Xenopus tropicalis: one gene and its partners. The protein of the gene in region 5 interacts with the protein of the main gene of each other region in a pairwise test. Links are inferred from orthologs where the notes say so. Each region holds a gene or a part of one and is shown on either strand. Other genes may lie near its edges.

Region 1 (3,518 bases), on a different chromosome or scaffold from region 5:
TAAATTTCACTGCAGAGGGCAATAATTTAGCTCCACCCCAGTGAAGTTTTCCCCCCCAGGGTGGTGCTAATTTTATGGAAAAAAAGGTTGCCTAGTACCCTGCCATTTTACTTACTATTCCCAGACATCTCTAGAGCAGATTTAGGACTGCAGTATATTAAAATCTGAAAATTGTTGGCACATATTGGGGGATATGTACTGGTACAGAGTATAACAATATGGAACTCCACAGGTCTCCTTATCACCATACACTGCTGATCTATAAACTATTGTGCTTAGTTTTGGAAACAGGTTAAATATGAGTCTGTTCCTACTATTAATTATAAAAAAATTGGAAACACAGAATAAAATACCCCTTACTAAGGTTTTATCTGCTCCTATTCCAGATTAAATAAAGGTCAATGTATTGCTGGCAAATGCTAGCCATCAAAAATCCCATACGTTAACAGAGCTTGAGATATATTAAGCAGCATTTGCTCTGTAAGTAGGCTTAAGATAGCCACTCTGTGGTGGTGTATTTCTTTATTGTGAACCGTGCATCACAATATTATAATAACTATTAGATTTAGTACGTAAGTTTAGGAAACTTACTTATCAACTCAAAATCTAAAACGATTTTGCCTGAAAGTGCATGTTTTTACTCCAGATATATATATATATATATATATATACACACAATATATTATTAATATATATGAATATAAATAATATATTTAATTTAGTTAACATGTTAATGATTTTAATGGAATTTGTAAATATAACTGCTGTTAAAAACAGTCAGAAACTACTTTTAATAGCAATTATAAAAAACTTTAAATACATTGAAATTTTGAAATGTATATAAAGCGGCTGTTTAAATTGCAAAAAGAATGTTTTTGGTTTGATAACCCATTTAAGGATCAAATGTAACTTTTTTTTTTAGGAAAAAGCAGATCTAACTGCTCACAAATGAACATGGATAACAAATGATAAGAAAGTGAAAGCTTTTTAAATGCAATGCTCATAAAACCTCAGATTTGCATTAAATGTGACACAAACGCTTGTCTTGATTATTTTTTCCCATTGCACACCCTATTCTTATGGGGTTATAAACATATTTCTTGGCCAATTAGAAGCATTTTATTACTAATAAAAAACAGCATTTGCAAAATAATCTTTATAACTTATTGGAACTGTACAAAGAGGCATTAAAGGTACAGTAAAGCACCTTGATCACCATGAATTTAATAAATAAGGCTTGTGTTGAAAATACTTTATCCAGATTTCATTATGAAAAATCTGTTTTCTTATTCTTTTTTTGAGGTTAACAATGAAAACAAAGGGTGAAGGGGTAAATTATTTATACAAAGCTTATTATAACTAATAAACCTAACTCAGCATCATTTTGCTCATGTTAATAATGCATATAGCTATTTACTGCCCCTTTAAACTTTTAATTTTATATTCAGAATCTTTTATATTTTGGAATCTTGTCCAATGGTGTCATTATGGATAACCTGCAAACTTACTGAGTAGAGAGTTCACTATAGTACTGTGTACAGTTAATCTACAAAGAATTCTAAGTAATGTATAATGTCACAAAAAGATTCGATTTGCAGTTTATACATTACTTATAATATTCTGTCTTAACACAAACAGTTTTCTCCTGTGTACCTTTAACTTTCTTCTTGCATTGAATTTCTTCAAGCAATCCACAGTTTCTTGTCTGTGCATCATGGAGGCAACAGTAGATCGTTGCTGGAAAGAAATTAGAAAAAAACACATAATAAAATTAATTAAATAAATAAAATGCTATTTTAAAAAGAATGTCTTTAGACATATTGCCCAATCATCCCAGCTTCACATCCTTTTTTACTAACGTTTTCCAGTAGCCTCTCAAACAGGAGCAATGACAGTTACTCCCTGACATATTTTCTCATTTGTCAGTTTAGGTTAACCCTATATATAATCTGCCTCTACACATCTAGTGTTTATAGGGAAGCTTATCAGCTATTTGCAATCTGCACTCTCTGGCTACTTCTTATCATGCTTATGGTTTTTTACCCAACAATCAATGGGTACTATGAAGGCCAAAACCATGTAGGTGAATTCTACTGCACACTGCTAGGGTTTTTTTAAATAATCAAATGGGCTTCCCTGAGTTGGAAGCGCTGTATTATATTGCTTTTTCATAGTTTGTGTCTCAGCCCCATATCTTCCAGACTTATCTTATTTGTCACTCGTGGTAAATCTGTGCTAATGCAGGCACCAAATCTTGTGAGGATCTGAGAGTTAATCACATTTATTTACTAATAGCAAGAAGAGGGTATTTCTAATTGAGAAAAATGAATCTAGCAGCTGCATTCAGATGTATTAAATAATAACATTTTAAACAGACAGTCTACCAACAAGTGGAAATTAGAAGGTAATATTTTAGTGTACACCATCCTAAAACAAAATAAAATCTTGTATGCAGAAGATGTACATTGACAAAGACTTGCTTACATTGTCCATAACAGTATCAGACAGAATGTACAGTGTGCTTGCATTTCTAGTCAGGTTGAACAGAACTATTTGAACCTTACAGATATATGCAGCTGCTGCTATTGCTATATGGAGCACAGAGGCAACATTTTGCATTCCAATCATTCTAGTTATTTCTCTTCTGTAAAGGCAATGTAAACTTTTATAACAGATATGCAATTTTGATAGTTACTCTAATATACAAGCAAGATCTAAGCAATAATAACTGATTAACATTTTGTCAATAAAATTGTAAGCAACCCAGAGAAGATATCTAGTAGCATAAAGTTCTGAAGAGAAACTTACACAGATCCAAGGATGTCTGAGTGCTTCCGCAGCTGTGATGCGCTTGGCTGGATTGATCGTGAGCATTTTGTTTATAAGGTCTTTGGCTTCAGGAGTCACTGTATCCCACTCAGGAGATGGAAACTAAGTATTTTAAAAAAGAATGAGTAGTTCATAAAGGGTTGTAAATCTTGCATACAAATAAAATCTGTAGAAAAATTACCACTTTTCTCAATTGTTCTAATATTTTTTTTATTTTTCTGTCGACCTTGCTAAAGGTAATTCTTGTGTAAGAATGTTTATAAATAAAACATTTTCTATCACCTTAAGCATGCTTCTTATATTCTTCCTTAAATAGCAACAGAAGTTGAATATATAAAATAACTTGGTCAAAAGAATAATAAAAACCTGACCTAAAAAACACAGTGGGAATATTGTATTCTTTATGCATAAGCTCACATATTTTCCATGCATACAGCTTCTGTTTTTCTTTTTAGTTTGGGAAATGAGCCATACACTTACATCATAAGCACCAGCCTTAATCTGCTGATAAAGCCTATGTTGGTCCTCATCCCAGAAAGGTGGATAGCCAACAAGAAGGATGTAGAGAATGACACCTGAATGGCAAACACAGTTTTCATTGTAAGAAAATATTCAACAGATTACAGTAAATATTTCTGCTGCTTTTGCTATGTGGTTTATTTTTTTATTATTATTATTTCCTTTCGCAC
Region 2 (3,518 bases), on a different chromosome or scaffold from region 5:
ATAACTCCCTAATCATTCATTTAACCACTTCACTTGAACACCTTTAAAGTGATACTGACACTAAAAAATGACTCCTCAAAATATGAATCTACATAAAAAGTTGCCTATAGGTCATGTTGATTGATTTTCGCTGAGAGATTTGCTTTTGTAAATAATTGTTACTTGAAGTTCCTAAACCTGACTGTTTTGCCAACCTGTCTGTCCCTCCTCACCCTGTCAGTTACAGCTTCTAATGCTAACGGCCTCCTGCTGCACAAATATGGCAGCCCCCTCAGAGGAACATGGGGGATCAGACAGGTAATATAAAAGCATTGGGCAAATACTTTTATGGCAAAAATGAAGGTCATGCAAAGACAATGTGGTTATGATAGATGTAAAAAAAAGTTTAATTTCTGGTGTCAGTATCTCTTTAAGATTTTTCTAGAGCTGAACTGATTCTCATCTACAACCTATAGGGGCACATTTACTAATCCACGAATCTGAATAGGAAAAATTCGGATTGGAAACGAACATTTTGCGACTTTTTCGTAAATTGTCGCGACTTTTTCGTAGCCGTTACAACTTGCACGAATTGTCGCGACTTTTTGTAGCCGTTACGATTTGCTCGTATATTGTCGCGACTTTTTCGTATTGAGCGCTCGTAAACGTCGGGCAAAACTTTCAGTCTTTGCATGATTTTGGAAGCCTCCCATAGGACTCAATGGCACTCTGCCGCTCCAACCTGGCCCAAGGAAAGTCTCCCATAGGACTCAATGGCACTCTGCAGCTCCAACCTGGCCCAAGGAAAGTCACGATACTGAAGCTTGAATGAATCCGAAACTTTCGTACTCGGCGCGACGGCTACGAAAAATTTACTAAAAAATCGCAAAATACCGATCATTACGAAAAAAACGCATTCGGATGCTTTTCGGACGTTCATGGATTAGTAAATGTGCCCCATAGTGTTCCCCAATTTTCTAAAACATCTCTTTATGGCAGCATGCCTAATTTATTACTATTTATCTATTATTTATTTCATAACAAACCAATTACCAATTGAATTTCACTGCTTTAACCACTTTTTCCACTAAAGTTCACTATGTCAATGTTACACCTCTTTCACCTTCTTGTATAAAACTGTAAGCTGTAACTATCAGCGTTACAATTTTGTATTGCTTTTAATACTTACTTTGTATGGTTTGTTGAAGATACCCTACTCTTATTTAAGAGAAATGTGTTTATATAAATATGTTTATAAATTGATAATAGTAACACCCCCTTTATTTATTCTTACTTTCTTTTGTTCAACAGCAGCGGTTATGCCCATGACCTCATGATCCTTGTGTACACCAAACAGCTTGTCAAAAGCTTTAACTGGGGTTTTGCATGTGATACAGTAAATGTCAGGGATATAATTTTCTTCAGAATCTACGCATCCTCCATCTTTTTCTGGTGCTTTAGTTTGATGATGTCCAAGCTGACCACTTTCATTGGAAAGATGGCTGCCATTCTCATCCAGCACACTACTTTTAGGGGAACTGTTCTCTGTCTTTGTGCCTGTTTCTGTATTTTGGTTTTGGCTTATTTTATTAGAGGTCTCAATACTTTTATTTCGTTTGAGCAATTTTTTTTCTCTTTTGGGGGCAGTGGGTTTATGAAAAATTGTTTCTGGGTTTTTGTAAGGCACGCTTGTTAAAAACGGTTGTTCATCTTTTTCTTTATCATCAGAAATTCCATACTGTTTGGCCAAGTGATCCACTTCCTTTTGCAGATCTGAATGGATTTGTTCAGCAGTAGTAGACAAATCTTGCTTTGCAATGTGTGGCTTTTTTTCCTCAGAAAGTTCCTGTTTAGGAAAGATGGTCAGTTTGTCTGGAGAATCATACAAATCTGTGTGATAAAAAGTCAGGCTCTCTGATTTCTCTTTTGTAGACTCATCCTGTCCTTCTGCCTCTTCCACAATTGTGTCCAAGTCCTCTGGGATATCCAGTTTATTAGCATCCATTGGTCACAAAGTTATTCTCGTAGTTAGATTCTACTTTGGCAAAGCCTGTTAAATAATAAATTAAACAATGTTTAAACAACAAAGGGAAAACTATGTACAAAGTATTATTTACATTATCAGTGCTAATACTTGAACATTTATTTATTTTATGGTAATTAAATATATATATATATATATATATAGTGCAGTGAGGATCACCTCACTGATTTAGAGGTGCTAGAGGTGTTTTTCCCACTAAATTTATTTCACAAAACTAGACTCACTGTGGAAAGAGAGAAAATATCATCCCTCTGAAATGCAAAACATTTTTGGATTTCTATTTGCATATAATGAGACAATAAATAGACTAAACATCATCCTTCACTATAAGGGCCTTGGTAGATGGGGAGATTAGTCGCCCGCGACAAATCTCCCTTGTTGCAAGCGACAAATCTCTCCAATATGCCATCCCACCAGCTTGAATGTAAATTACCTTAGGGATGGCATATGCAGTGCCACGATTTCCCGAAATCGTGGAAGTTGCCCTGAGAGGAAACTTCCGCAGTTTCGGGAAATCGTTGCGCTGCATATGCCATCCCACCGGCGATTTACATTCAAGCCAGTGGGATGGCATATCGGGGAAATTAGTCGCCCGCAACAAGGGAGATTTGTCGCAGTCGACTAATCTCCGCGTCTACCACAGCCCTAAAGATGTAATAGATTGGTAGGAGAAGGACCCGGTAGTTGGAGAAGATAAGCTAATATTCTGACACTGCTGGCCAAGAAGGAGAGCTCTGTTATGGCTGTGGAAACAGTAGAAATCCATCCCACACCAGAGAGAAAAGAGACACAGGAAAGTAGATATAATCAAAAGATACAGTCAAGATCAGGAAAGGGCAAGGACAGAAAGTCTCTAAATAAGCAAAACATTATAATCAAGAAGATAGTGCTTTTGGGTCCTCACTTACAGTATACCCCCTCCTCCTTTAGAAGTACCCACCGAGCATGTGACTTAAAAGAAAGGTGACAATGTTTTTCAGCAGCCCAGTTTTTACAAGAAGACAAAGCCTGGTGTTACTGAAATTTCAAACCAGTTATTTAGCATCAGGGACATCAACTTTGAAATAAAAGGAAGAACAGAAGATTTAGGCTTTAGACATATAAAAATATGAACAATCCATACACTTCTCATGAAAATTATTGTGGGAAAACTCAGCCACATGAAAAAGCTCCTCACAATGATCTTGATTCTTGGAATAAAACAAAAATACGTTCAAGAAGCTGGGAGGCTGGTATGTTTTTTCAGGATGACTGTTTCTTGAGGAACAGCCGCACAACTGCATATTGATTCTCAGCTTAGAAAAGACTCCCAAAAACAAGACAAATTTCTTTACATTAAAATTCTATTACTGTAGTGTTCCTTATCTGTTCTATTCATGCATTATTTAAATGTGCAATATGCAAGAAATTATACATACATAATATAAATTGATATAAATAAAACTATACATACATTTTCTGATAAATATTTGGGCAAGTTCAGATGCAGGAGTAA
Region 3 (3,518 bases), on a different chromosome or scaffold from region 5:
ATTTGCTAGTGGGGTCCCCCGGGAGAAGTTTGTATGTGGTAGAGTCTCTCAATTGTCCTAACAGTTCATCCCTGTAGTAACCATAATCCAATAGTACAATGGACCCACCCTTGTCTGCGGGCCTAATTACTAAGTTTGTATCCTCCTGGAGAGTTTTAATCGCTCGGCGTTCTGCTATTGATAGATTGGGATAGGACCGTGTACTTTTAGCCATAGCTTTGGCTTCTAAATTAAGAACTTTACCGAAAGTACGTACTGCCGCTGGGGTATTAGGGGGCTCAAAGTGGCTTTTAGCCCTAAAGGGGGGTTGTGTATCCCTAGGTGTGTTTCTAAAGTGTTCTTTCAGCCTAAGTTTCCTCTGAAACTTGTAAATGTCTACTGAAGTATCAAATGTATTGGGTATAGTGCTAGGTACAAAGGAAAGACCCTTGCACAATAATGAGGACTCACCCGGTGTGAGGATATGTCTGCTCAAATTGAAAACTATGTTTTCTTCCCCTTTGGAGGCTTCCCCCTTACACTTGTGACCCCCTCTCCTGGTAGGTCTCCTCCTTCTTTCTTTGATCTTGTGGTCACCCCTAAAAAAGGCCTATTGCCAGGGTTGTTGGTGTTCCCAGTGTCCGAGTCAGTAGACTGATCCGAACTGTCTACAGTTGCTAGGGATCTGGGGAGTCTTTTACGTCTAATAGGTCTCCTTCCTTGGTCGCCTGGTCTTAGACCCAATAGCCACCCATAAACCCTCTTGTGTTTATAGTCATCTGCCACTTTGTGTAGTTTTTTCTGTTTGAAATTAGTTAGATCTTGTTTGTATTTGTCAATATTTGTTTGTAGTTTGTGTATCCAGTCGGAAGTAGTGTCTGCCCTGAGGGATTCTAGGTGCTGTAGCTCTAATGTGTTAATGTCTGCCCGTATAGATACCAGTTCCTTCCCAACTTGTTCTACCACTAGCAATAGCAGGTCAAATGAGCAATGGTTCAATATACCGCACCACTTACTGCAAAACTCTGGGTTACTGCGACCAATGGTGGGGATGTTATTAATCCTAAAACCCCGTGGGATAAGTCTTTGTCTATGATAGTTAGAGAGATAGATACCGTGTAGTTGAAGGTCTAACTCCTTCTTCTTCAAATTTAGTAGATCATGGTATATATCGATATCAGGTTTGTTTGTAGCAATGTCCAATGGAGTTTCAGTAAACAGAATTTTGTCTGCATCCTGTGGGGTGAAGGTGAAGTCCGTGCTAGTATCAACTTCAAATGTTAGTTGCGAGCCGCTGCCTTCCATTAGCCAGTGGGTAGTAGGGGTGAGCGATGTAGGTAAATCAGTGTGTTCAGAAGAAATGCGTGTTATCGTTTTAGTTCCGTAATTTCACCAATGATCAAGCAAGAAATGGGGACAAACAGAAAACTTCAAAATATTGCATGTAGACGGCCCAAAGGAAGGGCCATAAAAATTCCTTTAAAGTCGGAAAAATAGAGGTGGGTGCTTACCCTCAGAAAGCTGAAAACAACCATCTGAAAATACAAAGTCCAAAATAGGGAGCACTCCAAAAAAGATTTTCTATACCTTGGTGCTAGAGCAGAGCAATCTTCAAATGGAATAAATGTCAGCACTCTGAGGATTTTCCATAACTGGTCAACTTCTCAACTCCGAGGACAGTGAGGTATATATATATATATATATATATATACACACATACACATAGCTGCAGCAGAAAGCACTCACGGCTCCGATTTGTGCAAAAGTATCAAAAGTTTTATTGCTCCACGCTCACATCATGTGAGCGTGGAGCAATAAAACTTTTGATACTTTTGCACAAATCGGAGCCGTGAGTGCTTTCTGCTGCAGCTATGTGAATACGTTTGGTGAGCACCCGGCGTGTGGCTTGCGATTGGTGAGTGCCGTTACTGGAACAGATATATATATATATATAATTTTTTTTTTTTGTATATTGTTAGGTCTTTATAGGTATGTGTATATGCACTGGGGGCCATTTGGAGGGGTTGAACTTTTGTCTTTTTTCAACTCACATTAACTATGTAAGGAGGATATTCTAAATTATCAACCAGAACCAACTAAGCAATAACCTGCAAATTACAAGTCACACCCAAACTAATTACAAGTTACATCCAAGCGTATTTGACATTACTACTGGAGACCCCAATTCATTTAAGTGCTTGCTACTTTCGGACTGGTGAATCTGAATGAATATTTGTCTTTTCTGTCTGTTTTACCTGGTCCTTTTTAGCAAAAGGGTTGGACTTCTGCTGTTGCTCATCTCGCATACTTAGTTGAGCCAAAGCATCAGCCAGTTGCATCCTCACACTGTCTGTGTCAAGACGGGCTGAGTGGAGATCGGCCATGGTTTTATCACGTTTATTTACTGCCTCACTCAATTCCCTAGACATTAAAGAGACTTCTTGTCTGCTGGCTTGGTGTTGATCCTCCAATTTTCGTAGCTGTTGCTTTAAAAAGGCGATATCCTCCTTATAAAATATTTAAAACAAAATAAGATCAAATCAGATTAAGCAAATAAAATAAAACAAAAGCATTGCATTATATAACAGTTGCACAACAGCATAGTATGCAAAGACCATACAGTTCAAATCATTACTTGTCATAAGCTGATAAGAAGTGTTTTCGGTTTTATACGGTATTTTTTGATTAACATTTTTATTGAATGTGTGAAATCTGCAGTGACGAGTATCTTAATTAAGATACCCTTGTATAAAGGCTCAAACTATTTGAGATACATTCATGGCCCATACAGTAAACTGTCTGGTTATCTGTCAACAAATCTGTTTTTATATACAATACAAATACATCCCATAAAAATACAAAAACATAAGATTTAATGGCATGAATGTTAAAGGGGAACTCCACCCAAACACAACTTAAGCTTTCTGAAAATAAACATAATTTTAAGCAACTTTTCAGTATAGAGGTATAGGACCAAGACCTGGGGTTTTCCAAATAAGGGGGTCTTTCTGTAATTTGGGTCTCCATACTTTAAATCTATTAAAAAAATATTTAAACATTAAATATACCCAGTAGGAAAATTCTACCTCCAATATTGATTAATTATATCCTATTTGGGATCAAGTATAAGGTATGGTTTTATTTTTACAGAGAAAAAAGAAATCATTTTTAAAAATGTGAACTAAAATGGAGTCTATGGGAGATAGCCTTCCCATAATTCAGAACTTTCTAAAAAAACTTTTTTTCTGATCATTTCTTGATTGTTTTCATGATTGTAATTTGGGCTGTTTAACACATTTTGTTTTGGAAGAGTTCTCTTATAAAGAAGCAGATTAAATGCCTAATGCCTGGGTAGAAGACCAACAACCATGCCCTTATTATTTCTGTCTGGGGGAAAATTGAGCCATCAAATAGGACTACAGGTTGGAATCCCTTATCCGGAAATTGGTTATCCAGAAAGTTCCGAATTACGGAAAGGCCATGTGCCATAGACTCCATTATAAGCAAATAATTCTAATTTTTAAAAAATATAATTAATC
Region 4 (3,986 bases), on a different chromosome or scaffold from region 5:
TGACTGTGGTGCAGTGGAAAAACTATTGTTTCCCCTATCCGGAGCATGGGCTCTATTAGGCTGCACCTCAGGTGGGGGAAACAACATAGGGGCAATTGGTGCACTTTAAGGGCTCTGGCCCTTAGTCGCCCGCGACAAATCTCCTGTGTCTCGGGCGACTAATCTCCCCGAAATGCCATCCCACCGCTGCCGTGTATGCTATCCTACCGGCGATTTACATTTTCGCCGGTGGTATGGCAATCTGGGGAGATTAGTCGCCCGCGAACAGGGAGTTTTGTCGCGGGCAACTAATCTCCCCGTGTGCCAGAGCCCTAAGGGCAGTGGCAGACTAAGAGATTAGTTGCCCCGCAACAATACGGCATATGCGTTGCTACGATTTCCCGAACTTGCCCTAAGTACTTTGGGTGAAATCGTAGCGACACGTATGCCATCCCACTGGCGATTTACATTCTTGCCGGTGGGATGGCTTTGCGGGGAGGTTACCCGCGGCAACAAAAATCTGACTAATTTCCCCTTGTGCCACTGCACTAAATCTCAGCTACTGTGGGTAACTAGTCTCCAGGAAATGCCTTTCCACAAAAAGCACTTCCTTTCCCAAAGTTACCTGCAGGAGGCCAAGTATGCCTTCCCACCTTTGGAGCATTGTTTCTCGTTACACACAGGTAACATTACAGACATACTACTCATACAGCACCCACAAGTTGGGCAGCGCTAGAGAGATTGTTTTTCATTCACACCAACTCGTACATAGTGGCGCTTACAATCCAACTTCCCTACCACTTTTAACTAGCGCACAAGCGGGCTGATTACGAACCGATTAACCTGTTCTCGCTAATCAATAATACACGCCAACTAAATAAGGGTACTGAAAGACATACATGTGTTTAATGATCATATAAAGGTACAAAGTCGCAAGCCCTTGTTACGCTTCTGATTACTAAAACAAATACGTCGAATAAAATCCTTTGAATCCTACATATACTCACACCTTCCGAGTAACCTACTCATTTTCTACAGAAATATAAAGAAACCCCGGCTGGCTAAATCAATTAGACGTAAACATAAGAATAGGCGGAGCAAATATTGCACCACGTGGTACACCCTCGCAAATCGTAGTCCAGCTCCCGCTCAGCGAACGTGACGCCGACCTGAAGCGCTGTCAGCCATCTTGGAGCCGGGAGGAGCGCAATTCACCAACAGTCTCTGCAAAATTATTGTAAATTAATTCGGTGGTGCTGTCAACTCGGTAGCCAGCGATACACCAGATCGAGAAATTAAAGCAATCTACGGAAAACCCGTCGCGCTTTTCAAGGTGCAATAAGGCGGTACCGTCTGTAGCAGAAGAAACTGGGCGCGTCGGAAAACATGGTGCAATCGTGCTCGGCTTACGGTTGCAAGAATCGCTACGATAAGGATAAACCCATCTCTTTTCACAAGTGAGTGCATTTTGCGCTTTGCCCGGTAATATTTAGCTGGATAGTATTCTCGGTCCCCTGAAAGCAAGAGACGCATGCGCGAAGCTCGGTGCTTGTTCTAATGCTAGGCGCCTGCCGATACCACGTGGTCAGGGGCTGGGAGTGCGCGGCCTCGCCTTGTGTTACTGTGTGTGAGCTGCATCCAGTTGTTCAAACTTTGAAATAAATGGACCTAAGAAGGGGAAGAGTGATTTTACCTCATTTTTATTTTATCATATAAATATGTGGACTGGTATATTTAACGCTTTTGCCTTTTTTTCTGGTAAAAATTGCCACAATTGTGCATGTTATCTGAGTGAAACTTGTCAGAAAATATTCCCCCTGTACATAGGGTTTATCTGTGAAACAGTTGTATGTTACACAGCCTTCTCCTTCTCCAACATTGACTTGGCAAATTTAAGCTCTCAGTGCCTATGTTAAATAAAAGAAAACCCAAACCCATAAATATTTGTTAATTTAAACAAATAAAAAGTATGTCCTATTCAATAATAATCTTAAAAAGCATTTGCACAAAGTAATGTATCATACTGCTAAAATACCCCTTGGGTATCAAGCCTATTCATAAGTTAAGATAATATCACTTAGGAACATCGCATTCCAGTTAGGGTATGGGTAGGGAAAAAAGGAAAGGGATTTTTTTCTGAATTGTAACACCCTGTTAAAGAGAAATACATATATTTTCCATTATTATATTGTTGCTGTAAAAGTTGCCTTTTATGCAGTAGCATACCTAACCTTGGGTACACTTATTCAACAGCGGCGTAGTCACATGATGGAAAACTCCTCCATTTTGCTTCTCTGGTGGGCCTAGAGGGGTGCATTTCACCCCCTTGTAGTTACGCCACTGCTTTTATGTATGCATCTTCTTTATGGCTAATTAACCAATCATTTAGATCCCTGCTGTTGTCTTGCAGTTGGCCATGGGGGCTATATTCAGCCCTTCAGTATGAGTATGTTGCATTTATTAAAATGTATTGTAGTGTAGTGTGCTCATTACCAACATCAAATCTAACCTGCAGTCCTTTTGATATGTCTGGGTTCAGTGTGAGACCCCTGAAACTTCAGATGTTGCTCAGCAATGCTGTAGACTGTTCTTGATTCTGTGATCAATGTGGCAAGAATCTAATTTAACTGTTAACACTTTTAGCACTGGGATTAAAATGTCTGAATTGAGGAAGCCGCAATTGAAATAATATACTCCATACTTTCTTACTTTGCAATAATTTGTTTTAATGTCTTATTTTAAAATTTAAATTGAATAAATATTTGACTTTTTAAGAACATTGTTAGTACCGTATATACTCGAGTATAAGCCGAGTTTTTCAGCCCTAATAATGTGCTCAAAAAGGCACCCTCGGCTTATACTCGAGTATATACGTTCTCCCGGCCGTGCGCTCGCTTGCTCACACCGCCCAACCCTGGACATATGCGCTCGCATGCTTGCGAGTGTTGACTTACTCTATTTCATTGATCCATCACCTCGGCAGCCATCGGCGCGCAACTTACTCTATTTCATATCCAGCACTGGGCATCCGTCGCAATCGCATGCATCCCCCCGTGCGCGTGACATGTGTGCGCGGATGCCTGGTGCTGGATACGTGCATGCGATCGCGCCCGATTGCTGGAAAGGTACGTGATATGTTGTGCGCGACGAATGCCCGGTTACAGCATGATGGCTGGCGCCCGATGGCTGGCGAGGTGCTGGATCGGTGCTGGATCAATGAAATAGAGTAAGTCAACAGCACAAAAGGGCATTTAAAAGAACTCAGAGTTGCAACATGGGTCAACTACAAGGTAAGGGCATATTAAGTTGTTCGCTTTGATATTTTGAGTTTTGCCACAGAGACAGGCCCTTAGGCAGCAGGGATACACAGACTGACACACATAGACTGTACACAGGCTGACAGCTGCTCACTTTACACCTCCTGCCTCAGACTTAAGGTTCATGATTTTTGGAACATGTCCTCCCTCTTAGGCAATGGTTGACAGTGAATTATTACTAAGAAACCTAATGGGTTAAATAGGAACTGTGATCGATATGTGTTACTATGAGTATAGGATAACGTGTGCACTGCTTTCCAATTTTTGCCTCCTAAAAACAGACACTGATCATTTTCTCCCCTGATATACCTAAAAAGCAGCTGCTCTAAAGTCTTTGCATTACCAGGGCTAATTAAATACAATAATGTTGCACAAACTAAGGTGGCTTAACACAAGCCAGTTTTCTTATGGCCGGTCATTTTGAGTGTTTGAGAGACTGGATATACAGTATGTTGTTTTGTCAAACGCAAGGGTGGTTCTGGATGCTTCTCAGCTGGCCGAAATACACAGGTGGAGAAAATGCCCAATTTATTTATCTATTTTATTAATATATTATTTTCTCATCTGCAATGTTTTCTCTATCTTCCATGATGATGATAGCGTTTTGTGCAGGTGTGTTAAAAGAAATGGATGCCTAGGCTTATACTCGAGTCAATAAGTTTTTCCAATTTTCTTAGGTAAAATTAGGTA
Region 5 (4,064 bases):
CTGGCCAATGGGGATACCTCGCTAAACAGGAATGCAGAAAAAAGTAAGAGAGGTTACAAAATTCCAGTCTGGAGACATTGCAAAGAGGAGATTTTCCTACTGCCGAACAGGAGTATTCAAAATGCAGCAGTTACCTGTCCCAGGATGGGTCCAAGCGGTGGTCCAGGAGCTGCCTGCCCAGCTCTCACCAGTGCTCGAATCATGCCGGCAACATTGGCTTTCTTTACAGTTTTTACTGCACGTGAAGCTTTTGACATAACTAAGGGAGAACAAAATTTTTTATTGTAAACCAGAATAACAAAAAGTTTTAATAAGACACTGCTAAAGTGGGAGCGATTCCTACTAAATATTTGCCCCTACTCTATGCTCCATTAAACTACACTTCATTGTAAATGATAATGCATCTAGTTTCCTGTGCTGGCTGCTGCTCTATTATCAATCTAAACTGCTTTTTTTCCCCCAAATGTTAAATAGTTATCAGTGTAAATCTGGCCAACATAAATTCCTTATTCATACAACCTTTCGATTACCTTTATCCTAACACAACATGCTTTACTATCATTGAAGTTGTTAGCTCTACTTTCAGTAGCAGTAGTTGTTGCACAGTTGCTAACAGAAAGAAGTTTTTGACCATATTTTGTCCCATGGCAAGCATTTCTTTATATTATGACCAAAACACACGAAACAAATTTTGGTGCATAGAATTTTGTTAAAATACATACATTGCACACAACAGATTAAAGGGGACATTGCCCTGACCTGTTTTCAGCATTACTGCATTTTCCATAGTGATTCTGATATACAGAGGGAGTTTCAGAGATTAAATAAATGACAGCACTGGCACTTGCTTCATTTGTATAGCATTTCAGATTATTTAAAATGTTATTTCCTCCATAAAATACTGTAATCAGGGTCAGCTGTAGAAATATTTCTGTTAAACTGCCATGTCTCATATAGGGCAGCCCTAGAAAATATAAATCTGCTTTACTTTGGCTAAAGCTATCATAGAACATATAGTTTTCAGTGCAGAGGCAAGAAGCAGATCTAGAGACAGATCATGAAGTAACAGTGATGTGCAGGCTGGCAAAAAGCTGACCAGTAGCCAACCCTGCCAACCCACCTGACCATAACCCTCTGTATTTATAGACCTGCACCCGACCTGCCCCTCTCTGACAGGGCAAAAAATGGCAGGGCACACAGAGTCGAATTTATAAATACTAACATCTGGAGGCAGAGATGGGGCATAGTAAGGTCATAGGCAGGGTGGACACATGGTAAAGTGCAGCCCAAACCCATCCACAAAAGTTGTGTGGATGTTGGCTTGTGGGTCCCACAAGTTCAGGCCAGCACATAACTAAGAAGGTCATAAACTCCTGCAAACATCATAAATGGTGTCTGTCTAGTTTGAATGAGTTACAAAATCATTTTAAATCCCAAATGAAATCAGAGACATATTTTTCAAATGAGAAATAGTTCTTCCTAGGAGTGAAAGTACTCGCACAGTCTTGGCCAAAGGAACATGTTGTGAATTCACAAAAGAATCTTAAAAAGTATCTGCAGATCTGCAGGCCTTTCTCTTCTCAGCTTAGTGTCATGTCTGCAGACAGATTATTTGAAATAATGAGATCTGTTGCAGAAAAGCAAGGACAACACTCACTAGAAAGAAGAAGCGAGCACTCACCTCACGTCTGCCAAAATGCACCTGAATAAGTATGAAGCAGTCAGGGAACAATGGAACAAGATAAATACTAATGGGTCTCTGGGGCTGTAAGGGGAAAAAATCAACAGTCAAGAATGGCAGTTGCATATAATGGTGCAAGTATTACAAATAATTTATTCAATCAATTCTGTTCTGCGGGAGAGTTTTATACAGCAGAATTCCCATCTGGGATCTTAGGCACCAATAATATAATAATTCAAAACACAAAAATAAATCTATACCAAAAATGTAAATGATCTGTAATTGTTTCTAAAGGGGTATTAAAGCTTAATAAAGAAGTAGGGTAGAAATACTGCAGACTATTTTGTGGGTTTCTGTACCAGCCCAAGGCAACCACAGCCCTTTAGCAGGGAAGATCTGTGCCCCCAAAGATGCCCCAGTAGCTCCCCATCTTCTTTTCTGCAAATTCCCTGCACATGCTCTGTGCTGCTGTCACTTACTGAGCTTAGGGACTGACTTAGAATATAGTGTGTGTATAAAATTCAGAATAAAAGGCTCATAAGTAATTAATACATATTTTAGGTGTGCATACCCCATTGTAGAAGCAGAAGGAATGCTTGGGAAACACTTGTACGATGACAACACAGAATACACCAGCCAATATAAACTGTCAATTCTGTCCTTCCAGACCAAGTTGGCAGATTATCGGCCTGTGTATAGGGCCATCTGAAAGGCCTGCCCAACCAATGTCTGGTCAAAAATCTGCCAGATAATAATAGGGCAGGATTCAAAATACCACTGGGGCTAAACTATAAGATCTGTATGGGCAGCTTTAGTTAGAAAGATAAGGGGAGGCATGAATCCGAATTTCCCTGAAATCCCAGGACCTGAGGGACCATTACCACATAAAACAGCATTATTACAGAACAGGGGGCAACTAGCAGTCCCACACGGAAACATGCCTGGGGTCTAAAGGCACTTATGCTATATGACATTTCGGGGACCACAGGCCATAAAGCACTGAATTTCCAGCTGTCTCGAACTTATTGCCATGCACACTCAAGCTACATCTACTTGTACAGCTGCTTACCGTCCCCTCAGTAAGTCAGTACTCTGCAGGAACACGGCACCACTTTATGTCAGTCCTCTTGCACTCCCCTTACGACCTTCATAAGCAGCTCTCCATAAGCACGCAAGCTCATTTCGCTTTACCCGATTGGCTTCTCGGACTTTCTATTACGCTTGTACCATTGGTAGACATACTTGCCAATCACACTCGATCTGTGCTGCCATTGGATAAGCTTAGAGCCTTGAATACCGCTCGCCGATTGGATGACTGCGTTTCATTCTTACTTCAGTACCACTATCTGGGAATTTCATTGAATAGCAGTGACTTTGCTTCTTCACTGAATGGGTAAGGGCAGGCGTTACGTATACATGTGGGCGGAACCACAGCAAGCGTGGTTGGTGCTGTAACCCGGAAGTCTGGTCGTTTCAATTTTTGTCAAAATCCTGAACAGGTGAGGAAATTACATTGTTCGTATTACTTGTAGGAGCTCTAATCATTTGAATGAACAAGGATGGCGAGTTTACAATAAAAAATCATTTTAAATGGTCGCTATCAGTATTTTGAGTCTAAATAGTCCCCCAATGTAAATCAATCAGGGACTGTGATTAATTATAGTACTATAATTCACATAGACGCAGCCTATGTATTTCATAAGTGCTATTAATATCTTGATTTTTAAATATGTATGCAAAAAATAGGGATGCACTGCACCCATCATTTTTGGATTTGAACAGTTACCAAATTGTCCACAAAAGGTTCTTCTAAATAACCAGCCAATTGTAACCCCAATTTTACAACCCCAAGACTGTGCCAAACTGAGAACTGATTTTAGGTATGAAAAAAATGCTTAATTGTGAACAAACCAATAGTAAAAGAAAATGTAACTTTACTTTCCATTATACATTATCATTTTTTCCGGTTATATGCAGATGTAATTGCAGTGCAGTGTAACCTTAAAGTACATGTAAAGCCTAAATTTGCCTACAGTGTATATCAGTTGGGCACATCTCCCCCACCCAAACAGCATACACACACACAGACCCTTATTCAGCATACATTTCATCAAGAATACAGGCTCACACAGGCACAACTGTCTCTGATAAAAGTTCTGCTTTGTTCGAGCTGAGCTCAGGAGAGGAGGTTAGGAAAAAGAAATAGAGCTGAGTTACTATAACCACCAATGCCATCTCTTCATTGGCTGCTAGACTGGGGGGTGTGTTTAGTAATCTGAGTTTAGAACAATTGAGCATGTCTGGCAAGCCAGGAATCAAAGCAAATTACTGAGGGGGGGGGGGGGTTACAGGAGAAGAAGGAAATCCAAGTGATTAAGGAGAT

What was found.
Region 1: the proteins of mrpl11 (region 5) and camk2d interact in binary tests that used the Homo sapiens proteins (3 or more experiments, as listed by UniProt). The two-hybrid records come from large-scale screens. The link is inferred for Xenopus tropicalis from reciprocal best matches to the Homo sapiens genes MRPL11 and CAMK2D.
Region 2: the proteins of mrpl11 (region 5) and fsd2 interact in binary tests that used the Homo sapiens proteins (3 or more experiments, as listed by UniProt). The two-hybrid records come from large-scale screens. The link is inferred for Xenopus tropicalis from reciprocal best matches to the Homo sapiens genes MRPL11 and FSD2.
Region 3: the proteins of mrpl11 (region 5) and tax1bp1 interact in binary tests that used the Homo sapiens proteins (3 or more experiments, as listed by UniProt). The two-hybrid records come from large-scale screens. The link is inferred for Xenopus tropicalis from reciprocal best matches to the Homo sapiens genes MRPL11 and TAX1BP1.
Region 4: the proteins of mrpl11 (region 5) and thap1 interact in binary tests that used the Homo sapiens proteins (3 or more experiments, as listed by UniProt). The two-hybrid records come from large-scale screens. The link is inferred for Xenopus tropicalis from reciprocal best matches to the Homo sapiens genes MRPL11 and THAP1.

What each region holds. Positions count from the first base shown.
Region 1 is NC_030677.2:69,389,409-69,392,926, forward strand, and holds part of camk2d (calcium/calmodulin-dependent protein kinase type II subunit delta), read right to left. Parts: intron 3,405-3,518; coding exon 3,310-3,404; intron 2,932-3,309; coding exon 2,809-2,931; intron 1,738-2,808; coding exon 1,654-1,737; intron 1-1,653. UniProt on the Homo sapiens protein: Calcium/calmodulin-dependent protein kinase involved in the regulation of Ca(2+) homeostatis and excitation-contraction coupling (ECC) in heart by targeting ion channels, transporters and accessory proteins involved in Ca(2+) influx into the myocyte, Ca(2+) release from the sarcoplasmic reticulum (SR), SR Ca(2+) uptake and Na(+) and K(+) channel transport.
Region 2 is NC_030679.2:105,252,900-105,256,417, forward strand, and holds part of fsd2 (fibronectin type III and SPRY domain-containing protein 2), read right to left. Parts: intron 2,030-3,518; 5' UTR 1,985-2,029; coding exon 1,274-1,984; intron 1-1,273.
Region 3 is NC_030682.2:42,549,258-42,552,775, reverse strand, and holds part of tax1bp1 (tax1-binding protein 1 homolog), read right to left. Parts: intron 2,487-3,518; coding exon 2,235-2,486; intron 1-2,234.
Region 4 is NC_030677.2:112,770,177-112,774,162, reverse strand, and holds the start of thap1 (THAP domain-containing protein 1), read left to right. Parts: upstream 1-1,184; 5' UTR 1,185-1,365; coding exon 1,366-1,436; intron 1,437-2,210; exon of another isoform or gene 2,211-2,282; intron 2,283-3,986. UniProt on the Homo sapiens protein: DNA-binding transcription regulator that regulates endothelial cell proliferation and G1/S cell-cycle progression.
Region 5 is NC_030680.2:38,001,342-38,005,405, reverse strand, and holds the start of mrpl11 (39S ribosomal protein L11, mitochondrial), read right to left. Parts: upstream 2,819-4,064; 5' UTR 2,751-2,818; intron 1,766-2,750; 5' UTR 1,682-1,765; intron 260-1,681; 5' UTR 258-259; coding exon 135-257; intron 22-134; coding exon 1-21.